Oryzias latipes: one gene and its partners. The protein of the gene in region 6 interacts with the protein of the main gene of each other region in a pairwise test. Links are inferred from orthologs where the notes say so. Each region holds a gene or a part of one and is shown on either strand. Other genes may lie near its edges.

Region 1 (3,789 bases), on a different chromosome or scaffold from region 6:
TTCAGCAACTCCTAAGTCCCTCCGCCGACAGCGCCCCCCCCCACTTTTTATTCCACCGCTCCCGCCCTCCTATTTCCCTTATTCAGCTCATAGCTGAACCCCATTGGTCCAAACTCCCCAACGACAGGCTGAGCGACAGAACTGAGGGCCAATCAGCGTCTCTGCTTGATGCGTTCAATGAACTCCGGAACTTAGAACGCGACCAAACAGCCACCTCGTCCAACCCTGTCCGCTACAATTGCGACCCCCAACCTTAATGGCCCACGGACCGCTTTGATGTCTGGCTAAGTTCTCATGAACCGCAATATTATATATGGCGGACAAACACTGTAGCAACGCTACAACAGAGGCACAGCCGCGTGATAAGACGGACTCTGCGTTTTTCTTTTGACATGAATGACATTGAACATCGCACAGGTGTCATCATCCTCTCCCCTTCCCTCACTCATGGTGCTAAAAAGAAGTACAACAGTACAACATGAAGAAATAACTAAGGGTGAAATAATAAAGTTTTATTCTATTCTAAAACACATTACCAAATATTAACACAAATAAGATCATTAAGGGTTTTTTTAAAGGGTTGCACGGTGGTGTAGAGGTTGGCTCTCTTGCCTCTAAGTGAGAAGGTTCTGGTTCAAATCCTGGGTGGGCCTTTTCTGCATGGAGTGGGCCTGTTCTCTTTGTGCACGGAAACCAGATACTCTGGCTTCCTCCATAGTCCAGAAACATGTTTCATAGGTTAATTAGTATCTGTAAATTGTCCCTAGGTGGGCTTGTTGTTGTGCAGTCATGCAACCGACTGATAGTGGCTGGGATAGGCTCCAGCAACCCAGTGAGCCCAAAAGGGATGTGGCGAGTTTGAAAAATGGATGGATGGACTAATTTGCCTTTTGAGAAATTTCAAGAAGCTGAACAGGCGTTTCATAAACAGAGATGGTTATTGATCAAGCAGCTCAAAACAGCTTTAACACATCTGACTAACACGCCCTTTGACCTACCCCAACCACTCCACTGCTCACGGGATCAACACGAATCAGCTGATTCTGACACGGCGAAGAGCGGCTTTAAACACACAAAGTGTTGCTTAATAATCAGCTGGTTTACATTGTAAAGTGTTGCACATCAACGACGCGCTGCTTTTTTTCTGCAGGAATTCTGTGTAAACAGCAGAAAAGTTCCGGTAGTCGAAACACCGGAGCTAAAACTACGGAGTTAACGGGTTAACCGTCCAACCAGAGTTTCACTAAAAACTCTGAATAAAAGTAAGTATATGAATAATAACCTGCATAAACGTGTGAATAAGGTGTGGCTCAGGAGGATCACCTGATTGGCTGCTCTGCGTCAGGTGCTGCTTCAGCTGCAGAGCTCCAGGAGTCGGCACCGACATCAGGCTCTTGAATTCATTGGAGCAGCCGGACATTTCTCCAGACTGCATTGCTGGAAGACACAAATAAACAATGAGGGTCAGCGACCTCCTCCACCTGACCCGTCAACCTGCAGTCCTCAAGGTTCTGTAGATGTCCCCGCCCTCTGCTGGTTACCTGGTTAGTGTGTTCTATAGGAGGAGGTTTAGAAATAAGCAACAAAATCGATCCCTCTACACCTAAAATACAACACTGTTTCAACAAAAACATGAATGGATTCAGCTTTAATGCTATTTCCTTTATTTTTAAGACTAAAAAGGCTTTTCTATTAGCTGGTGAATGTGTATGTTTGTGGTTAAAGGTTCCTCTTTTGTTTACTTAATTTTTTTTTTTAAACGGGTTTTAAAACCAAACTAAATTGGTCTTAGTGTGATAATTTGCCAAATCATCTTTTTAACCAAATCTAGTTCAATTTAAAATCAAACATATTCTGCTTGCTGCTGTGGGAATATGGTTAGGTTAGGAATCTGGTTAGGTTAGGAATCTGGTTAGGTTAGATATCTGGTTAGGTTGGGATTCTGGTTAGGTTAGGAAGCTGATTAGGTAGAAATCTGATTAAGGTAGGAACCTGGTTAGGTTAGGAACCTGGTTAGGTTAGATATCTGGTTAGGTTAGATATCTGGTTAGGTTGGGATTCTGGTTAGGTTAGGAAGCTGATTAGGTAGAAATCTGATTAAGGTAGGAACCTGGTTAGGTTAGGAAGCTGGTTAGGTTAGATATCTGGTTAGGTTAGGAAGCTGCTCAAAACCCAATTTCTAACTGCATCCATGGCAGACACAGAGGTAGAGGCTAAGAAAGGTTAAGAGCATCTTCACATCTGATGACATCAACCACAGAGTTACTAAATAAAACAAACTAAGTCACTCCCTCCTTGAGTCTGTGGTAAACCACAAACAGACCAAGCAGCTCCTACCTATCTGCTTGGCGCGCCTAACGAGCTGAGCTGAGCCACTCACAAACAGCTGCTCCAGAGTCTTCTGCTGGGGTTTGCTCGGTTTGGAAGCAGTTCTGGAAAAGATGAAAATGAGGACGGCCTTTCAGAAAACAGACGTGTCATGATTCATGTGCTGCTGAGCCAAATGTTTACAATAAACTTTGTTGTGTTTCAGGACAGTACTTCACTGTTTGTAACATAAAAGCTAATTCTAAAGCACAAATCTGAACCAACAAAGGTTTAACCAATGAACAGCCTTGAAGCGTCCTGACAGATCTCTCTGATCACTCCTCCAGGACAAAGCTGCACTCACAGCGTGGCGGCGCAGGCAGAAGACGACACGCCGCCGTAGTAGAAGCCATCTTGACACAGGCGCTGTCTGAGGCCGCCCCCCTTCCCCTTCAGGGTGTTTGGGCCTTTTCCAGAGAACGATGACTGCAGCTCCGCCCTCTTTGAGCTCATCTTCTTATACTGGGCCTTGACATGGTACTGGCAGTACTGGCATTCGTACTGCAGAGAGGAGCGGATCGTGAAGGGAGGTGAAGGAGGAGGAGGAGGTGAAGAAACGCGGTTTCACTTAGGACTCACCAAGTTGACGATTTGAGAACAGGGATCTCCGTTCTTCTTCGAGGCTTTGCAGGTGCCGTAGTCCTGAGCTTCGCCCAAAACGAGCACCTTCTGTGGGTGATCCACCGTCAGACTCACCTAAAAAAATAATTTTAAAAATCCATTTCTGAATAAGCAAAATGAACCCGAATGCTGACATTCTGCTGATTCTTCAGCAGACATTATTTGAAGCTTTCTGGGATCGTCTCAAGATTCCCGATTGCACTTAAGGTACTAGGTTATTAAAAACAAAGGGGGAAACATTTGATTTCTTTAAAGACTTAAACCCCTCAACCTTTAGCTAAACCAGTGCTTCTCAAATAGTGGGGCATGTGATGCCGGGGGGCAAATTTATCGGGGGCCGGTGGGGCTCAGTGCTAGGAAAAAAAACTGTAGCCCACTATTGGTTTCCTATGATGTGTTGAATGACAGAGTTTGTATCAGCCTGAAACTGTGAATGGGCGTCTCTGGCGCACGGAGCACAGCCTGGATCATGGTTCCTTTAGATTCCTCAGCTCATGCTAGTAATGTCATTCTTTATTAAGAATTGTAGACATTTTGATGACGTATCTTTATTTTCCATCAATGTATTCTTTGTCTGCCTGTGGTTTAGTTGGTGTCAGTATTTGACATACAGACAGCAGGTAATGCAGGGAAACAGCTGCACTTTAGGAGATCAGAAATAAACAATCCATCATTTAGAAAAAAAATCATTAAAAAAACCATGCCTCTGGTTCGGCCTTTGTGACAAATGTTAGAACCCTTTGTGGCCCCAGGGTCCAAACGTTTGCCCACCCCTGATGTAAAGTGTTCTGAAAGGGATTT
Region 2 (2,495 bases), on a different chromosome or scaffold from region 6:
AGCACGAAAGCCAGAACTGCTGTTGTGACGCAGAATGAAACAGTAACTGTCTCTTTTCAGGTGACTCTGGTGGATCCCTGTTTCTGCAGAAGAGAAAGCGTTACTTCCAGGTCTGCATGTTTCTTTCCATTCATAAAAACCGAATCTTGATGTGAACAGCCTGAATAAAACGACAGCTTCCTGCTTTTTTTCAGGTGGGATTGGTGAGCTGGGGCACCACGGACATCTGTGACCGTAACAACCGGGCCCACGGCAGCAACCGGCCCCCTCCAGACGCCCGAGACTTTCACATCGATCTCTTCAAGATAATGCCGTGGTTGAAAGAACATACAGGCAAGGAGATCAAGTTCCTGCCTGAGTTTGACCCTTGATGAGCCTGGGAAGATAAATCTGCTTCAGGATGGAACAGACACCGGAGCTTCTGCAACATCCAAGCAGAAACTCCTCTGTAAGAGATTTAAACATCGTCTTACTGGTCCAAAGCTGATTTGTCCATTTTAATTAGCAAACTAAAAACGAATAAAAATGTATTTTACTCTCTAAACTGAATGGCTTTTTCGATAGAATCAATAGAGAAAGAGTGTTGGTAAAGCTTTAAGCAGGCAGAGTGATGCCATGCTAGAATAAATCCTGACCAAAGCCCTCAAACCTCATCTAACCGCTTTGTTTCTGGGGCCAAGGCAAATATTTTCCTCTTAGCTTTTACTGACAGATGGTGATGGGGGGCCAATGTAAACGTTCAGCTCTGGAAAAAGGGCAGCAAACCACAGAAACAGGCTTAGGAAGCTTTAATGATTAGTATTTTAGCGCTGAGATGAAAACAAGAAGCAAATCCAACAGTCAGGGCAGCAGGTTTACAATCCAACTGTGTTGTACAGTCATGAGTTTAACTATAGTCGTTCAGTTAACATGCAGTAACGGCACAAAGGTTCATTGCAATATAAAGGCCATTAGCTGGAATTTACCGTCGCTTACTTAACATTTAGACATAGACCTTTATTTGGGGAGTCAGCCCTCAGAAAACTGTCGGAACAGAACCTCCGACTGTCTGTCCTTGAAATTTGGAACGAAATGGATCTGGAGAATCTCAGAGAATCCTTCGGAAAGAGCAGGAGCCACGAAGTGTTTCCTGTTTGGAGCAGAAGAGGAGACAGATCGTCAGAATGCTGGGATGAAGCAGAAATGCAGCAAGAACAAAAAACCTATGAATCTCTTTGATCCAATATAAGAGCAGAAAATACAGTGACATTTTAAAATGTGACAAATTCTAGTTTTCTTTTTCAAACTATAGTCTCCATCCAGTTGTTCTGCACCAGTGAGGCTTTTTGGGTGTTGACTAACATTTCAGAGGCCTTCACTCACTTGTAACTGTGGAAAACCATTTCATTGACCTTGGCGTGTTTGCCGTCAGACGGAGCCATCTCCCGGAACTGGAAAGGACAGAAAATCCGTGTGAAAAGCGCTCGTCACAGAGCTGAAACCAAGTCAGGCGTGGGGAGGGGGGTGTCGTACTCTGTTGTTGTGCTTGGCTTGCTCCAGAGAAGCAGAGAAGTGGAAACAGCGACACGACACTCCAGCTGCTTTGGCTACGTCCACATACCTGCACAACATGCAGACCTAAGGTCAATTCACCCGTTTAAAAAATGATTAGGATTCCTTAATGTTAAAGTAGCTAAAGTAGTAGTTAGTAGTAGTAACACTCTATAAGACAGTCCATTTTACTAAGAAAGAATCTATCAGCCTAAATCAATAGAAAGAAGCACAAACCACGAACTAAGCGGCTTAAATCAAAGCTTAAAGTAAACCAGCTGGAGACTACTCCACCCTGCCTGTGTAATTATTTCTGCATGCGTGTGTGTGTCATTGTTTTGGAACCGGTTCATATGAAAGGTGAGCTGGGAGCAAACAGGCAAACTGAAACTGATTAGAGCTTCACCGTTTGCGCGACTCCGGGTCTGGGTTGGTGTTGTCGACAGCAACGCTGCGTCCCTCGCTAAGAGCGCGCTCACACACCGCCACGCATTTCTGCCAGGAGCCAAGGGTGTCCTGAGACACCAATGAGAGGATGACGATGGTTGAGATGCAGCAGCCAGTGATGTCTGAGCGACCTAAAATACTTGCAGGAGAAACTCTCAGACGTGAAAACCTTTCTTTGTACTCCACTTACCCTGTTGACATAGAAGTAACCCTTTGGAATAACGTGGGCGTGGAAGAAGGTCGATTTACCGGCTGTAAACAAGAGGGAGTGAGAACAAAAGGCTGTTGGGAGGGGACATGGGTGAGGGCTGACGGAGAGCGGGCCTCACATGCGGGATAACCGACGGCAACGATGACTTCTGTGAGACTGGAGATGAGGGAGGCGGACGGCGGGTCATACAGCCTGGCAGCGGAGTCCAGCTTCCTCTATGAGGAGCAGACAACAGCTATTAGTAAACACAAACAGGAGGAACTTCCCTAAAAGCTGACCCTGCATCAAACAAGATGAACACTAACTA
Region 3 (4,355 bases), on a different chromosome or scaffold from region 6:
CCCCGACTCAAGCCTGGGGTCGGACTCAAACTCCTCCCAGCGTGCAGATGCTAAGCTGAGTCCAGCATTCCCTCAGGCTTCAGCTTCTGCTTTGAAACTGGAGAGTAGCACAGTTCCAGTTTTTCATCGCTATTACCATGTTTTCCAGCAGGGGGAGCTGGAGCATCTGTGTGCTCAGGTGTCTGGAGTCAAAGTGAAGAGCAGTTACCATGACCAGGGCAACTGGTGTGTTGTGTTGCAGAAGGAATGAATGCAGAAAGATATGTCTGTGCGAATAAAAACTTGGCAGAACAAAAAACAGAACAGTGAGACAAAATGAAAAGATGTTCTTGTTGAGATTTTAAGAGAAATTAATAAATGTAGATTTTTGAGAAACTGTCTTTTACAGGGCTTTGATATTTGTGACTCTTTTGTTCGTTTTTGCTTGTTGGTATTTCATATTTTAAAAATCATTTTATTTTTCTTTTATCTTTAAAAATTCAAGTCAAGTCAAGTTTATTTATAATGCGCTTTAAAAAAAAACCCAGCAGAGGCTGACTAAAACACTTAACAATGAAAGATTAAAAAAAAACAACAATCTAAAATAAACAACATAATAAAAAAGTAAGAAACATCAATAAAATCACCAACTCATACTGAGCTAAAAGACAGAGGGAAAAAGGGAGTTTTCAACTTGGATTTAAAATCATTCAATAAATGAAAAAGAAACACATCTAAGTGATTTTTGGTCTCCTTTTAAGTTCAGTTTGTGCTTTGAAATTATCAGGGACTTTAAATTGAGAGCAGCCAGCACAGATTTTTTGTTTTATTTCCAACATTAAGGCAAATCAATCAAACTTTATTTTTTCAAAGCAAGTTTGTTTCGCACATTTTATGTACAAAGGTAGTTCAAAGTGCCTTACATAAAACATTAAAGGAAACATTTACTGGAGATATTAATGGGGTGATTATTAAAATAAAAATTAAAGAAAGTTAAAAAGAACGGAAATTAAAATAAGCTTAGAGTAACGGTGCTGATGTAAACTTTTGAAGTTAAATTAATTAAATGCTGTTGAGAACAGGTGGGCCTTTAACATGGGTTTAAAAAAACTGAGTGTTTTAGCAGATCTAAGGCTTTCCTGAAGTCTGTTCCAGAAGATCTGTGGAGCATAGAAGCTGAATGCAGCTTCTCCGTTTTGGTTTGGACTCCAGGAACTGACAACGGTGACAACAGATGATGGGAGAGGTCTGCATTGGACACTGAAGCCGCTAATTTGCACATGTAATGCTTGAAAACTATAGAACAAAATAATGATAGTGGGCCTTATATTTATCATAATCATCTTATTTAGCTCTTTGGAAAATTAGGCATTAAGGGTTAGGGTTAATGGAACTACAAGAACCACAAAACAACTGTCGTAAACAGCGATGTTTTACGACAGTTGGCTAGACCCGTGTACGACGTAGTTATGGCGGCGTACGGAGTCAGTTTTGAGAGTTCCAGCAACATCGAAGAAGCGAAAGAAAAGAAACGACAGGCGCGACAAGAGGCGATACAAAAGGTACGAACTAGGACTCTTTAGAACGCAGATGTGAAGTATTTCCGCGCCGCCGTTTGTTTTTGTTTACATTGATTGACCTGCTAACCGACATGCTAAGGATGGTACCATCAACGATCAAGTCAACCGGGACTATGTGACGTTTTGAGAAGGTTTGCTGTCGTGATGAAGTTTTAAGCAAGCGCTTGTCGGGACATTTTTCAGATTATTCCTGTTTGGACCATTGCTGCATGCTCCCTGAACGCTTGCAGGGAAATATGACACAAACACTGAAAGTGGTGAAAGTCAGTGACCGATATAGCACAGCAGACGGCGGCAGCCTGTCTTTTTCGTGTTTACATTTTGTCCAGATTGTAGTTATTCACTGTCCACAGATAGAAAACAAGAACATCTTAATAGCTGTATTCAAACATGAACATAGCTATTTACGCAGCACTTACAGCTGTTCCCTTTAAATGCACATAAATGTGTTGTAGACTCTTATCTGTTCTGCGCAAGCGCCAGGAAACTGACAACAACCGAGTGGAGCCCAGAACTGAGGAAAACTCAATCTATACATTTATCTTCAACCGATATACAGCAAAACATATTTAGCCAAATCTCTTTACTTTCTGTGCTGTTTTTATAATCTGAATATAATATATAATCGTAATCAATTTTCCAGCTCACATTTATACTTATAATCCCAAAATAGTATGTGAAGTCTAGATTTTGTTCAAATCTTTGTTTAGTGTTACCATTTATTTCTAGACACTTCAGCATAATTTAACATAATGTGTGAGTACATTTCTGTAAAACCACAAATACTGGTATGCTGTAGATATTATAATAAATGTTATTTTTTTTAAGGCTAAGCAACAATATGAGAAGGAGGAGAGGAGAAAGGAGCTGAAGAGGCAGAGAGGAGAGGACACCTGGATACTTCCTGAAGTCAACCAGAGACTGGAGCAGTTAGGAGACGTAAGTTGTATCTGTTTCACTTCAGAAAGACATTTAATAAGCAGCACAATGACAGAAATACATCATTTAAAGACCCACTCCAATGAGTATAGTATTTATGTTGTTTTTAACATGTTTTTGTTGCATTTTTCTCATGTTGAATAAAATATATCAAGAAAATTGAGATTAAAAATGCATTTCTGAGTATTTCTGTATTCATATTGTTGTGAATCAGGAGCAGACAGTCTGAGCTGAAATCTGTCTTAAAACTGGACGACTGCTCGCCAGTTTTGTTGCACCGGTAATGTTAGATTGGGGTTGTGAGGGGCTGTGAGCTAGCTGGAGGGAGTGTAAACAAAGGGTTCATGGGTAATGAGCGCACTTCAACAGTCCAACCCACAACTCCGAGGTGAATTTCTAATGAACTCCTGCCACCCTGCAGAAACTGTCCTAGAAAACAACACAGATTTTATAAATTTTTGCCTAAAAGAGCATAATTATTATTAAAATACCACTGGGAATGCTTTGAAAATGGATCAAAAGATGACTGCAGTTGGACGTGAATCATGTTTAATCATTTTCTAGAGCTATAGGTTGTTAAAGAAACATGCCAATGGTGGCACATTTCTTAAGAAAGTATTTATGCCTTATTTTTATATTTACCTAATCTAATTTTCATCTTTTTTTCCTTACATGCTGCTTTGAGTTTGCCATTGTCGGAGAAATAAAGTTTTATTTATCATTTTAGAATTTAAAACCACCTGCTTCACAGCAAACCAGTTTTCATCTTTTTTAAACCATGAAAACTTATTTGTTTTTTTATGTCAACATATTGGGTAGTTGTTTTTTTTTTTCCTGTACTCAAGCTAAACGTTTGCTGGTAAATCTTCATGTTTGCAGAAGTGGCTTCAAAATTTGCTTATGCAGAATTTTGGCAGCTTCACTCTTTTCCTGCTAATTGTATTTATTTCAATTCAAATATATTTTTTAAACAAACTGAGGTTCCATTTAAAGAACTAAATTCAAACATTTACCAGGATGGATCTTTGAAGAGCAAAAAGAAGAAAAAGGAGAAGAAATCCAAGAAGAAAAAAGAGAAGAAGAAGGACAAGAAAGAGAAAAGGAAAACGGAAGCAGGAGATGCTTCAAGTGTGGATTCAGAGGTAGACCGTCTTCCATGCATTACTCTGAGATACAAACACACAAATGATCTGTCAACAAGTTTTTCTGAGTGGTTTCTTAACAAAGATGTTTTAATAATTTCTATAACTGAAAAAATATTTTTGGGTTGAGTTCAGGTGAAGAATTTAGTTACGATTTAACACTAGAACGCCCAGGATTCTTCACTCCCCCTGCAGCGTCCAGAGCACAGCCAAATGGCTGGGTGACTCGAAATGACTCAAGGCCCGTACACACCGGGACGAATATTCGCCAGGCGTTATTCGCCAGCGTTTTTCGCCACGTTTTTTGTGTTCACACCCAGGCGATTTTCGCTGACGGTGAGCCGAGCGAACATGCAATTTCATTCCCTGACATTAGATGGCGCTTAATGTAAACAGAAATACTCCTGTACACAAGGTGGCGCTGCGCACCTTTACGCTTCTTAAAGTCGCTTTTCACTCAGAAGAAGTGAGCAAGTATTTACGCGCTTGTCAGAATCATACAAAGAAAACATGAATATTTCAAGCATCAGTAGCTCCAACTGGTACTTGGTTCGGGGATATTTAAGAATGTCCGTCATTATTTCTTCACAGCAGTGTAGACGCTACTTGGCGTCTATCTTCTTCGCTGGTATGTGTGCTCAGCAAGGCAGTTTTGTGTTTGAGCGCCCCCAAGTTGTGTTTTACTGTAACTTCAGAAGCTCCAGACACGTGTGCA
Region 4 (3,789 bases), on a different chromosome or scaffold from region 6:
GCTCTAAGGTTTTAATTAAATTAAGAAACACCGTCTTCTCCACGGAGAAAATGATTAAGCAGCAGGAGTCGCGGTCAGACACCCCCCCCTAGCGGCCGCCTCCTCCGAAAACAAAACCCTACGGCGGCCGCGTCGCAAATGAATATACCGGTACAAGTATTAATTACAACGCAGTATTCTTTATTAACAAATATGAGCAACAACTAACTAACGAACTAACTATACAGGCGTTGTAGAATGAGTATGTGTTTCTGTGTCAGGGCGCGTGCGTGTTTAAGAGGACTGAGCGCGTGCCACGTGAGCGCGCGTGAGAGCCTCTGACTCCGATGGGCTTTAGGCAGCGTGGGGGGGGGGGTCTTTTCCTCCACGTCTGTGGCAGTAAACCCAGACCAGTTCCAAACAACAAACTTCCCACTGTCACCGGTAGCCATGCTGTCGCTAGCTGCTTCGTGCGTCGATTGTCGCGTGTCGGCGTGTGACACCAACGCTACGGAAGCTCTGGGGAGCCAAAAATGCGCCACATAAAAACTTGATTTAGTTATTTTTGAAATCGCCCGTAACAAAAAATTCGAATTAATTCATTTGATCGATTTATCGCCCAGGCCTGGGAGAGAGGTTCAGATGACGATGATAACTAGAGAGAAAGAGAGACGATCAGCTGATGATGAAGAGGGGGAAGAACAGAGAGGTGCAGAAGAGAAGGCTGGGGCATTCCTTCATCAGAAGGTCCTTCTGAGTGGCCTTCACCTCACATTTAAACAATTAAAGTGTTGTAGGGGTGTTTAGGTAGCTTTAGGAGGGGTGGATGTGCATTTATGTCTGTGTGTGTGATGGTGGGGGGGCGTTTAAAATGTGACCGCGTACCGCCTACATATAAAATTGGGTAGTTGCGCCCCTGTCGCCAGCCTATTAAAGAATCCATGGAGCTGGAGCTAGCGAACGCCGCCGCTAGACCGTAGGTGCTGTCGTAGCAGGCTCGATCGCTGACGACCTGTCCAGGATGTATCCTGCCTTCATCCAACAGTAACCAGGACTGCCTTCGGAAACCCCGCGGCCCCAGCGGGTAAAACGGATGGAAGTTCATTAATCAGCCGTGTTGGATTTATTTTTCTCCCCTTTGATCGAGTCACTGTAAATGTCAAGTGCCCAAAGCTAAGTCCCTGATTGGTTCTTATCCTGCCGCAGGACCTTAGATCGTGTCTGTACATTGACTTATCATTGAAACTCGACGCCCTTGACCGTGAATCACATCCGGTGTGAATGCAGCCAAAGGGAGTGGTCCCCAACCTTTTTTCCATCACAGACCAGTTTAATGTCAGATATTTTCACCTGTTCCAGGCTGAAGTGGGCGTCCAATTTATTATTATTATTATTTTATTTTGACTTTTGAAAGGAATGTTATTAAATGTAGTTTAATAGATGAAAGCCTGAAGACAGACAGAGTATTGGAAATGTGGGAATCAGACTATAAGAGGTGGAGGCTTCCCAGACTGTGCAGACATCTCTACATTTGGATGGTGACTTCTGACTCCAGCAGCAGTGAAAGTGAACATCAGTGCGCTCACATACCTCTCCTAAAGACCTGCGTACTTCTGTCATCACACTCTGAATGTCTTCTTTGGTGCTGCAGTATTCCCCTAATATCCAAAGTGCTCCTCTGTAAATCCTGCAAATGCACCATTGTGACACAAATGTCGTCAAAGCCAGCACTATTGCAAACCCCTCTCCACATTATGTAATGGCTTTGTAGTCGAAAGCCTTACTTGACCGTTTTGATGGCGTGAAACACTTCCAGCATCTTTTCGATGATCAGAGGTCTCAAGTTGTCGAACCTCTGAATCGCCTCTCGCACGAATTCCAGCACGTCAGCAGCCGCCGCCTCGTTAGTGTCGCTCAGGAACTCCATCAGCTGGAACACAAACAGGTTCACCAAAACGCTCCGAACATTTAGGAGGCTGAGGAACCAACGGCATTTCAGAATGTCTGTCCTGTTTGTAGAGTTGGAGGAATAAATTACCACAGGTATGACGTTGGCCGCCATATCGGGGAAGCGCACACTGCACGAGTGGAGAGTGCGCACCAGGAGCTGCCTGTACTTGTCAGTGTCTTCGTGCTCTGAGACATTGTTTGTCTTGATCACTTCTTTTTTCAAAACGATCACCAACTGAAAGGAGAAGCAGAAACATTTTGCAACAAGTTATAATTCTTCTCCAATTTGTAAATAAAACCTACACAAACACTGATGTGCTAAATATGCTGCAGACCTCCTCCACGTTACGAGAAGAGACGAGGTCCAGCGCCAGCTGCAAGGTCTTCTTTCTGACTTCCAGGTCAGGAGTGCTGAGGACACGGAGGATGTCCATTACAAGGTCCTAAAAAAAATATGGAGGCAACTAAGAGAAGTCTCAGCAGATTGAACAATTGACAAACTGAAAACTGGGTCTCGACCAGACAAACAATATGTTTCACTATATGTTAATGAATTTTCTGGTAAAAAGAGAGACCATTTGATAACTTAAACTCACCACATTTGAATGTGAATTTCTTTTTTTAGTGTTTAGGAACTTTACTTTTATTTCTAAAAATGTCGACCCACCTGGAGAACCCGTTCATGAGTGGGATGATCCTTCAGTTCAATCAGACGATCAAGAACAATCAGCTTCACGTTGTTGTCACTCTCTTTAATGATCAAGTCAATATAACATTGGGCAGCAGCCTGGAGCAACAGAGAAGGCCACATATTTAGAAACTGATCAAATACAGTATGCTATCAGCTCTAAGCAGTATATGTGTTGCATGGAAACTGAGAGTTATACTAATATGAGAATATATTCACTAAATTGATGATAAAAGTCATGACAATGTACCTTGATAGCTGTAGGAGCACTGGAGAGGGTAACAAGAGTGCCTGCAGCTTCGTACTTCACAGCTGGACTTGAGGACTGCAAGAGGTTGAAGATGCAGCGGATGAACCGCGCTCGCTCAGAAGGGTTAGCGTGGCAAACCTAACAGGGAAACAAAAAGGGCTTCTATTTGAAATCTGATCCGATTGTAGGTTTTCGTGCTTTTAAACTGTGTAGTGCTCAAGCGCCTGGCTCGCCTTATAAATCAGCTCCACGATGACCAGCTGCAGGATGTCCCCAAAAGTGTGCACTTGGTCAATGCATGTGCTGAGGTAATCCAGAGCTCGATCCTGTTGAAGGTGATGAAAAAACAATTAGTTTGGCCTTGAATCTGAATATTTTAGTGCTACAAATAGGAACAGGTAGATTCCAAAACACTACTCACTTGATCTGCATGAATCAGCATCATGAAAGCGTTTCTCTTACAGCTGGCGTCTTTCTCATTGACGAGGAAATCGTGGATCAGCTCTGGAGCGTCCGGAATCAGATTCTCAAAGTTCCTGAACAGATCAAATTGCTTAACAATCTTCAGACTAATAGTATGCATACTCTGTGGGATGCATGTGAAAATGCATTCATGAGCATCTGGCACCTGTAGATGGTGTAAATAGCCAGGACGGCGTTGCGGCGCACATAGCTGTGGCGGTGCTCCAAGCAGGCGCGGATGGCAGGCATGAGAGGTTCCAGCAACTCCGACTCCTTCAGTTTGCACAGGAAACGCAGAGTGGAACCACGGATGAACTCGTTGGGATGTTGAAGATCCTGAGTTATTACAAAAAAAAGTTTGAAAACAACTGCTTCAATATTTAAAGGGGTCCACACCTTCACACCTTTAGCTTTAAATGAGTGCATTTCATGGAAGAAAACACTGCAAAGGCAAGTTTCA
Region 5 (4,540 bases), on a different chromosome or scaffold from region 6:
CTGCATCTCTGTCGGGTTTTCCATCCTGGAAAATGATCAGTGGCGTTTCTCCTCACAGCAGTAGGGTCACTGCAGCTTAACCTTTCAGTTGATGTTGGAAACGCTTCAGCAGACAAGTGTTTCTCACTGCCTCATCACTCTGTGGAGTGATAATCCACTAGAGGGCAAAAAACATGCATCAAGTTATGCAGGGTGGGTTTTTGCGGAAAATGTGGACCGTTGTAATGAGACAGGTGTCTCAGTAAGGTGTGAATCAAATATGAGAAGAATGGTTTTAAAGGGGTAAAAGATAGAAAACCAAGTAGCATTTTGAAGCTTCCTAGGTTTTCTTGCAGCTTCAACAGTCTGACCTGATTTGATTTAATGCATGTTTAATACCGGTAATTTGTTTTTACGTTGGTCACCGTTGTTCATCTGTAACATCTGTTTAAGTGTTAGTAGAGAGTTTAAGTCATCAAGCAGGAGAGTCTGAGGTGATGCTACTGCAGACATCAGAGAACTTTGGAGATCATTCAACTATTAGGCATCTGGATGACGAAGGGTTTTGTTGTTTTTTGACTTGTTGAGGAACTATGACACCGTAGCTTCTGCCTCCTGTTCACCATTCAATCTTCTAAAAGCCGAGTCCAGACAGTGGAGTACTTACAGACAGACAGGGACATCCTGCTGGAATCAGATCTGAAAGAGACACAAAAACGGCATCAAATTATTCCTTCACCTGAAATGCAGGTTTTCTAGCTTTTCTTCCTGTTTCCAGTCTTGAAATGTATCTTTTAGTCCAGAAACCCCTAACTGTTTGTCCCTAGAGACAATTCAAACTGTTTTTTAGAAACACTGGAGCCTTTGGGGGTTTAAAACTGCAGTAAAACATCACAATTAGTCATATATTGTAAAAAGGGTTGGCAGAATAAAGTAACAAAAGTGACAGTTTTTAAAGGGAGAGAACACTATAAACAGTGTGCAATTTATACATAATAATTTGAATTTTTGCATTAAATCCTATTTTAGAGACAGAAGGGTAGACCTCTTTAGAGACAAAAATGAAAAACAAAGACAAAAAAACGAAGGACACATGACATATGACGGGAAAGCCGAAAGGATTAATAAATAGAAAATTTTCACTAAATACACAAATTAGTAAATGCAGCAAATTATTTTTGACCTATGTGTGTAAAATGTGTTAAAAATCTAGTTTTTTATGTATCAGTCTTTTATAATGGAAATTTAATCCCTGGGTAAAAAAAAGGCATTTTTAGAACCACAAACCCAGAAAATATTATGTTGGGGCCGCCATAAAAGAAAAATAGATAAATAAATATGAGAAATAAAATAAGTTGTTAAGAAAAGTCAACATCTTATGAGACTAAGATATAAAAATCATAAAATTTTGACTTTTACTTACAATATGAAAAAAATGTTTTCTTTTTTCTATAGTTGTATGAATTTATTCTTGTACATTTTGACTTTTTCATATAATTGTTCTTTTAATCATGTTTTTTTTACTTCATTTTCATAAAATGTTGACTTTTTCATAATTTTATTACTTTTTTCTAATAGTTTGAGTTTTTTGAACCATAATTGTAACCTTGTAAGATTACATGGTTGTGTCAGGAAGGGCATCCGGCGTAAAAAAACAAACAAACAAACAAAAAACTCTTGGCAGAAGGCAAAACAACATTTTACGAATTTGATCGTAATATTTTTGCTTTCTCATAATTTTACTTAATTCTCGTAAAATGTCGACTTTTTCCTCCTGATCTTGTGATTATTTTCTTTACTTTCCCTTGTGAGATTAAAAAGTATAATTGAATTGAACTGAATTGATTTTTTTTTGTTTTCCCGTTCAGAACCAATTCTCCTTAGAGAAACGCTGGATTTTCCACTAACATTTGTCTCCATCTTGCGGTGGTTGTCTTAGAAACCTGCCGTATTGCTGTGGTCACCATGACAACCCTTTATATGTTAGCTCCCATGAGGTGGAGAAAAAAAAGTTAATTTACGAGAATACAGAATGAAAAGAACCTCAATAGGGACATTTTACCAACAGGTTTAGTACTTAGATGCTGCTGCTGGAGTTAAACGTGACGGATTTTCAATAGAAAATCGACCCCATTGTGTTTTGAAAACAAAAGTTGAGAGCTACTCAGCTAGCGTTAGCCTGACGCTAAAGCGGAAACCACGGCGGACTCACTCGGCAGTTTCTGCTCCGGAGTCCGGTTTTTCATTGTCGCATCTACCGAACACTGCGGCTCCTCTCATGACCCGGTGGAGAGCTTCGCGTGCAGGGCCGCGCTGCGGGCGGAGGTTGCGGGGTTCACACCGCGGAGCATCCTGTCCGGGTTGGTTTCCACAGCCTTGGACGCTGACGTCACGCCGCCGTCTTTGAAAAAGACGAAGCCGAGCGTCCGCAGAACAAACGCTCGTGCGGAGTGAAAGGAGGCAGCACAAGTGTTAAGGCTTTCAACAACAACAGAGCAGATGGTAGCAGTCTAACGTGAGGACAAAGGAGGAGCAGACGGAGGCGAAGGGAGGAGGTGTCTAACCCCCAACAGAAACACATTATTAAGACCTGGATAAGCGCATTAGTCTCTGCTGGATCTGTAAAAACTAAATGAACGAGGGTTTCAGATATGACAGCTGATCTGTTGGTGTTTTTCCACTACAGATCCTGAACTTCTCCTTCCAAACTGATGTATTCCATAATAATGCATGCTTAAATATCCATTTGTATTTGTAAAGGGTGAAACATTTCAAATTAAAATCCCAAAATCATTTATTTTGGTTTAACAACTTTTTCCTTATATCTTTAGTTGAAACAGGGCTTCATTCTTTGACTAAACGCATTAAAATTTTTATTTTTTTACAATTTTTTATATGCGGGCAGTCACTATAGAGTGTAAACAATATTTTAAAAGGTGTTAAATAAAGTTATGGTACTCTAAATATAAACATGGGAGATTTTTTGAAAAAAAAGTTTTTTTTGGTTGAGCTTCTCTTGAAAAGGATAGAAAACCAGGAATAATATATTTTTCTTTCTACATTTAATATGATGAAATCAAGGCCCTGTACAATCCACCTTCGCAACGCGTACAATTATTTTACAATTTGTACATATTAAAGCGTGGCACTCTGCTGCCTCCACCTGTTCAGAATGCAGTGGAAAAGGGAAATCTATGAAACCTGCAGTGCTAGGAACAGAATATTGAAGGATCAATTTGTCTGATTATGCTGCATCATTGAAGACCAAACATCTATGGAGTTGTGTCTTGTATCTGTGATTGACCCATTTATTCATGAAGGCATGCTGTGAAGCTGTTGGTTTTTTTGGCTGCTGGTACAGACCTGGTCAGACTTTTTTCTGTTTTAGTCTGTGCTGTGCTGAAGGACGAGTGTCGCCCCCTAAAGACATAAACTTGCAGCTGACGTGAAGCTTTTAAATGTTCCGTTAAACAAACATTGTTTGGCTGCTGCTGTAAACCAGGTCTGTATCAGGGAACACCTCATCTTTCTCTTGAAGTCTAAAAATCCTCTTTGAGGAAAAGGCTGAGACGCGCCGATCTGTACAACTATTATTGTGTCACAAAATACAAACATAACACATGAACGTCCACATTTAAAACAGAGGGGGAGTCCCGATGTTTTTCAGATCTCCATGGCGTCACGAGTCCAGTGACTGCCCAAAGACTCAGCCAGTTTCCTCCAAAGGCCACAAAAATCTTTTTTTTTTTTTTTTTTTTATACAAAACTACATCCCACTCCTCTCACTTTACTCAGAAGAAGTCTAATAACTCTAGAAAATGTCACCATCTTTTGCAGAATTATTCTTCACAGGTTTGTGTGGAGGACGTTTTTGAAGCTTCCCAGTGTTTCCCAGAATCAACGACGAAAGCAAGTCCGACTCGACTTAAACAAGAAGCAGTCCAGACCACAGAGCGGGCTCTGCTTTCATCACTCGTTATGCTACGTAAGTGTACACTTTGCGGTCCTCTGGTGTTCTCGCCAAGTATTCCCTCTCAATGAGTCCTTCAATGCGCTTCTTGATGACAACAGGACTAGGAAGAAACCGCGCTCGCAGCTGCTGTGTGACCTGAGAAGACAGAACAAGCACCAATGAGGGACATGACGCGTAAAAGCCAGTCTTTAAGAAGGACTGTCACCAAAGAGCAGAAAACAACAACAGAAAGTAACACCTCAGAGCAAATGTGTGAACCAACTGACCTCTGCTACAAGCACATTGTGCTGCATCTTCTTTCTGGACTTCATGATGCGAACAATGGCGGCTTCAATCTCATGCTTTCTGTCATCGTCCACTTTCTGCCGGGTCTCCTTCCTTTCCGGGTCCGACTCTCCCTGTTTAGCAACCACTAGAGGACGGAAGAAGACGTGTATGCATATTAAAAACGATTAAATACAAAAACTGAAATATGATTGTTAAAGCAGTGGTCCCCAACCAGCCTATGGTAAAAACACAACCTACATTTTTTTCCCTGTTTATTTAAATTCTGACCTGAAGGGAGTTTTATTTCGGGAAACTTCTGGA
Region 6 (2,682 bases):
GAAACTCAGCCTTACTAAAGGTTGGATTGTATTGCAGAAGCCATTTTTGCTTCTCATGGAATTCTGGGAAATAATAAGCATTTTTACAAGTGTTGAATTATAAAATGTCTTATCTAGTACTCAGATTCAGTAGATCATTCCACGCTGGGGTTCATCAGAACCAGCTTCCTACTAAGTTCTAGCTAAACAAAGTATTATTTTTACTTTAATACATGTGATATCCCCAAAGTAGAAGCTAAATGTGTGAAGACAATAGAAACAGCAAATCATGGAAACATTTTTCCACTTCAAACATCCATTTAAGGATGCTCTTGTTTTTGAAATTCATTTCAATTCTTTAGATGTACTTCATGGAGTTTATTTTAGTTTTGTGGTTGTATTTTGTTCCTATTCTGCTGCATTATTGCCCAGACCTCACTTGAAAAATATATATTTTTTAATCTCAATGAGTTTTTCTCCTTCTGGCATAATAGAGATGATATAGAAATAATAAAAATGTAAAGAGAATAGATACATGTCAAAAAATTAATCTAGCTATGGAAGCAACAGCAGTATCAGCTTAAAACCACAAATACGAATGTTGGAAAAAATTAATATAAAAACCAATCAGGAAGTAAATGATCAATTTCTGGTAAACTTTGTCAGTTTCTCTTCTGGTTGTGTTTCTACTGTCGCTGCCTTTTATGTACATGTGAGGCAAACAAGAAGAAGCTAGCTTCTGCCATGGCGAGTCAAATACTATTGACTGAAGGTAAACTACAATGAGGGATGTGTGCTGTGTGCACTAAACATACTATAACCCTTTTTTCACTTCAAACAATACAAGTGACACACTTTTACCGAACCACGAAGAACAAAACAGTCTAAAAGACCCAAAATGACAGATTTTTTTATGTTTGAAGCGATTTTGTGAAACATATTTTAAGTGCCAGTAAAAAAACTTAATATAAAAGACTGTATCTATCACCTTCCATGTTTCGATTTGTGGGCCATGTATGGAGATGCATATTGAATCTCGTTAGAGGGAAAGATACACACCCATAGTTATTATTCATCCTATTAATTAAAGGTTAATGGCCGACAAAGTGTGCATTATCAGAAATTAACGCACAAAGTGGATTAATGTCTGATAATGCAAACTTCGAAGACCATTACCCACTTATACCATGGTCACTTACAAAAGAAATAAATATTCAATCAGTTTTCAGTACTTTCTTCTTGGTATTTTTTGGTTTGGATCGCTTTTTTCACACAAAGTAGACTATTTGTTATCTGGTGCGGCGCATTGTCACGCTACAGTGACAACAAGCCGCACCGACCTCCAATCTCGGCTGCAGCGGCAAAGAAAGGTGATATACCGGTATATGCTGGTCATACATAAAGCATCGGTTCAGAGAGAAAGTTCACCTCTTACCGCTTGTTTTTAAAGCAAAATTTTGTTTTTTAAAGAAGCTAGCGCAGTGATCAAAACCAATTCTATCACTGATTGGTAACTAAGAGGCCTACGAGGCTGATCAACTACTTTTAAAAATGTATCGATTTTTATGGTTTGTGTGGCTCGTCTCTAATAAATAAATAACTGAAACCTGGGGCAGTGTATGTACCTGTGCAGGGAGGAGTGTGGTTGTCATAGCGAGAGGTGCAGCTCTGCAGAGCTTCATCCTCAGAGTCACTGTCACTGCTGGTTGCCGCCACCAGGATGGACGATGACTGATCTTTAGTTATGGGGAGAAAAAGACAAAAACATTACAATTAGATCTAATATTTCACTTCTTTGTTCACCCGGCAGTAAAATTTCTGAGCATCTTGCACATGAAAATGAAGCAGACTTTAGGAAACTTCTGTCATGCTGCAAGAAAAACTTTGAAGAATTCATATCTCAAATTAGTTTTTTAATGCTTTTCAAGGCTCAGAGTTCAGACATTTTTATGTCAGAAAAACTTTATAGTAGAGATGCTGAGAATAAAGCTGGGGCCCGGATTTACAAGAAGACATCAACCTTCACTAGGCGGTGCATTGGTTCCCTCCAGCAAGGACTGATGGGAGTTTCCTGAGCCTCCAGCCTCACAGTCCAACATAGCAGCTCTGCAGGAAGAAGACATGCAGAGCGGTAAGAAAAGCCCACGGAAGACAGATACACCACGGACCTCAGCCGCACCCGGTTTTGCCGCTGCAGCTCTTGCTGGTGGTTAGGTAGCCTGGCCCCCCAAGGGTGAAGATATCGTCTCTGGATCCTGAGGCCCCGTACAGCTGCTGCTCCACACAATACTGCTGCTTGGAGGAGGAAATCTGCTCTGATGTGGAGCTGCCGAGGGACACCAGGGTCCCTGTAAGAACGTCAGCCTTCACCGCTCCTGGAACAGAGACAACCAAAATAAATGTCACATGCAGCAGTAGAACTCAGTGATCCATTAAAGACATGACTGAATGAAGTTTATTTGTTGTCCCTAATTAAGATGAACAAGTTCAACAGAAGTCCTTTAACGTCCTTATCAACCTCGAGAGTAAAAGGTATTCGAAGGGAAGTGTGAAGTTTCAATCTAAAGTTCAACAAAGTCAACATTGTGTAAAGTAAGTGTTTGTTCTAGAGAACAAAAAAATACATATTTTTATTTTTAATCAAATGTGACAAATGTGTAAAGAGAGCTGTGAAATGGTAACACAATGTGCTACGAAAGGAAG

The links.
Region 1: the proteins of trim37 (region 6) and mcm10 interact in a two-hybrid assay, tested with the Homo sapiens proteins (2 studies listed by BioGRID and IntAct). The link is inferred for Oryzias latipes from reciprocal best matches to the Homo sapiens genes TRIM37 and MCM10.
Region 2: the proteins of trim37 (region 6) and pnkp interact in binary tests that used the Homo sapiens proteins (3 or more experiments, as listed by UniProt). The two-hybrid records come from large-scale screens. The link is inferred for Oryzias latipes from reciprocal best matches to the Homo sapiens genes TRIM37 and PNKP.
Region 3: the proteins of trim37 (region 6) and cwf19l2 interact in binary tests that used the Homo sapiens proteins (3 or more experiments, as listed by UniProt). The two-hybrid records come from large-scale screens. The link is inferred for Oryzias latipes from reciprocal best matches to the Homo sapiens genes TRIM37 and CWF19L2.
Region 4: the proteins of trim37 (region 6) and copb1 interact in binary tests that used the Homo sapiens proteins (3 or more experiments, as listed by UniProt). The two-hybrid records come from large-scale screens. The link is inferred for Oryzias latipes from reciprocal best matches to the Homo sapiens genes TRIM37 and COPB1.
Region 5: the proteins of trim37 (region 6) and protein FAM124B interact in a two-hybrid assay, tested with the Homo sapiens proteins (2 studies listed by BioGRID and IntAct). The link is inferred for Oryzias latipes from reciprocal best matches to the Homo sapiens genes TRIM37 and FAM124B.

What each region holds. Positions count from the first base shown.
Region 1 is NC_019881.2:2,768,217-2,772,005, forward strand, and holds part of mcm10 (protein MCM10 homolog), read right to left. Parts: intron 3,064-3,789; coding exon 2,947-3,063; intron 2,869-2,946; coding exon 2,672-2,868; intron 2,433-2,671; coding exon 2,338-2,432; intron 1,438-2,337; coding exon 1,324-1,437; intron 1-1,323. UniProt on the Homo sapiens protein: Acts as a replication initiation factor that brings together the MCM2-7 helicase and the DNA polymerase alpha/primase complex in order to initiate DNA replication. Additionally, plays a role in preventing DNA damage during replication.
Region 2 is NC_019871.2:32,547,115-32,549,609, reverse strand, and holds the end of pnkp (bifunctional polynucleotide phosphatase/kinase), read right to left. Parts: intron 2,404-2,495; coding exon 2,307-2,403; intron 2,230-2,306; coding exon 2,168-2,229; intron 2,047-2,167; coding exon 1,937-2,046; intron 1,601-1,936; coding exon 1,513-1,600; intron 1,431-1,512; coding exon 1,363-1,430; intron 1,130-1,362; coding exon 1,009-1,129; 3' UTR 774-1,008; downstream 1-773. Other genes in the region: complement C2, read left to right, coding at 61-110, 195-371. UniProt on the Homo sapiens protein: Plays a key role in the repair of DNA damage, functioning as part of both the non-homologous end-joining (NHEJ) and base excision repair (BER) pathways.
Region 3 is NC_019871.2:20,782,527-20,786,881, forward strand, and holds the start of cwf19l2 (CWF19-like protein 2), read left to right. Parts: upstream 1-1,409; 5' UTR 1,410-1,448; coding exon 1,449-1,541; intron 1,542-2,387; coding exon 2,388-2,498; intron 2,499-3,514; coding exon 3,515-3,640; intron 3,641-4,355. Other genes in the region: alkbh8 (alkylated DNA repair protein alkB homolog 8), read left to right, coding at 1-250.
Region 4 is NC_019861.2:19,366,000-19,369,788, reverse strand, and holds part of copb1 (coatomer subunit beta), read right to left. Parts: intron 3,666-3,789; coding exon 3,496-3,665; intron 3,404-3,495; coding exon 3,289-3,403; intron 3,194-3,288; coding exon 3,101-3,193; intron 3,006-3,100; coding exon 2,868-3,005; intron 2,717-2,867; coding exon 2,597-2,716; intron 2,373-2,596; coding exon 2,265-2,372; intron 2,165-2,264; coding exon 2,018-2,164; intron 1,910-2,017; coding exon 1,764-1,909; intron 1,667-1,763; coding exon 1,570-1,666; intron 1-1,569. UniProt on the Homo sapiens protein: The coatomer is a cytosolic protein complex that binds to dilysine motifs and reversibly associates with Golgi non-clathrin-coated vesicles, which further mediate biosynthetic protein transport from the ER, via the Golgi up to the trans Golgi network.
Region 5 is NC_019871.2:22,277,577-22,282,116, reverse strand, and holds the start of protein FAM124B, read right to left. Parts: upstream 2,920-4,540; 5' UTR 2,260-2,919; coding exon 2,192-2,259; intron 679-2,191; coding exon 647-678; intron 1-646. Other genes in the region: cullin-3, read right to left, coding at 3,956-4,087, 4,219-4,364.
Region 6 is NC_019872.2:24,841,767-24,844,448, forward strand, and holds part of trim37 (E3 ubiquitin-protein ligase TRIM37), read right to left. Parts: intron 2,355-2,682; coding exon 2,159-2,354; intron 2,086-2,158; coding exon 2,000-2,085; intron 1,716-1,999; coding exon 1,605-1,715; intron 1-1,604. UniProt on the Homo sapiens protein: E3 ubiquitin-protein ligase required to prevent centriole reduplication. Probably acts by ubiquitinating positive regulators of centriole reduplication.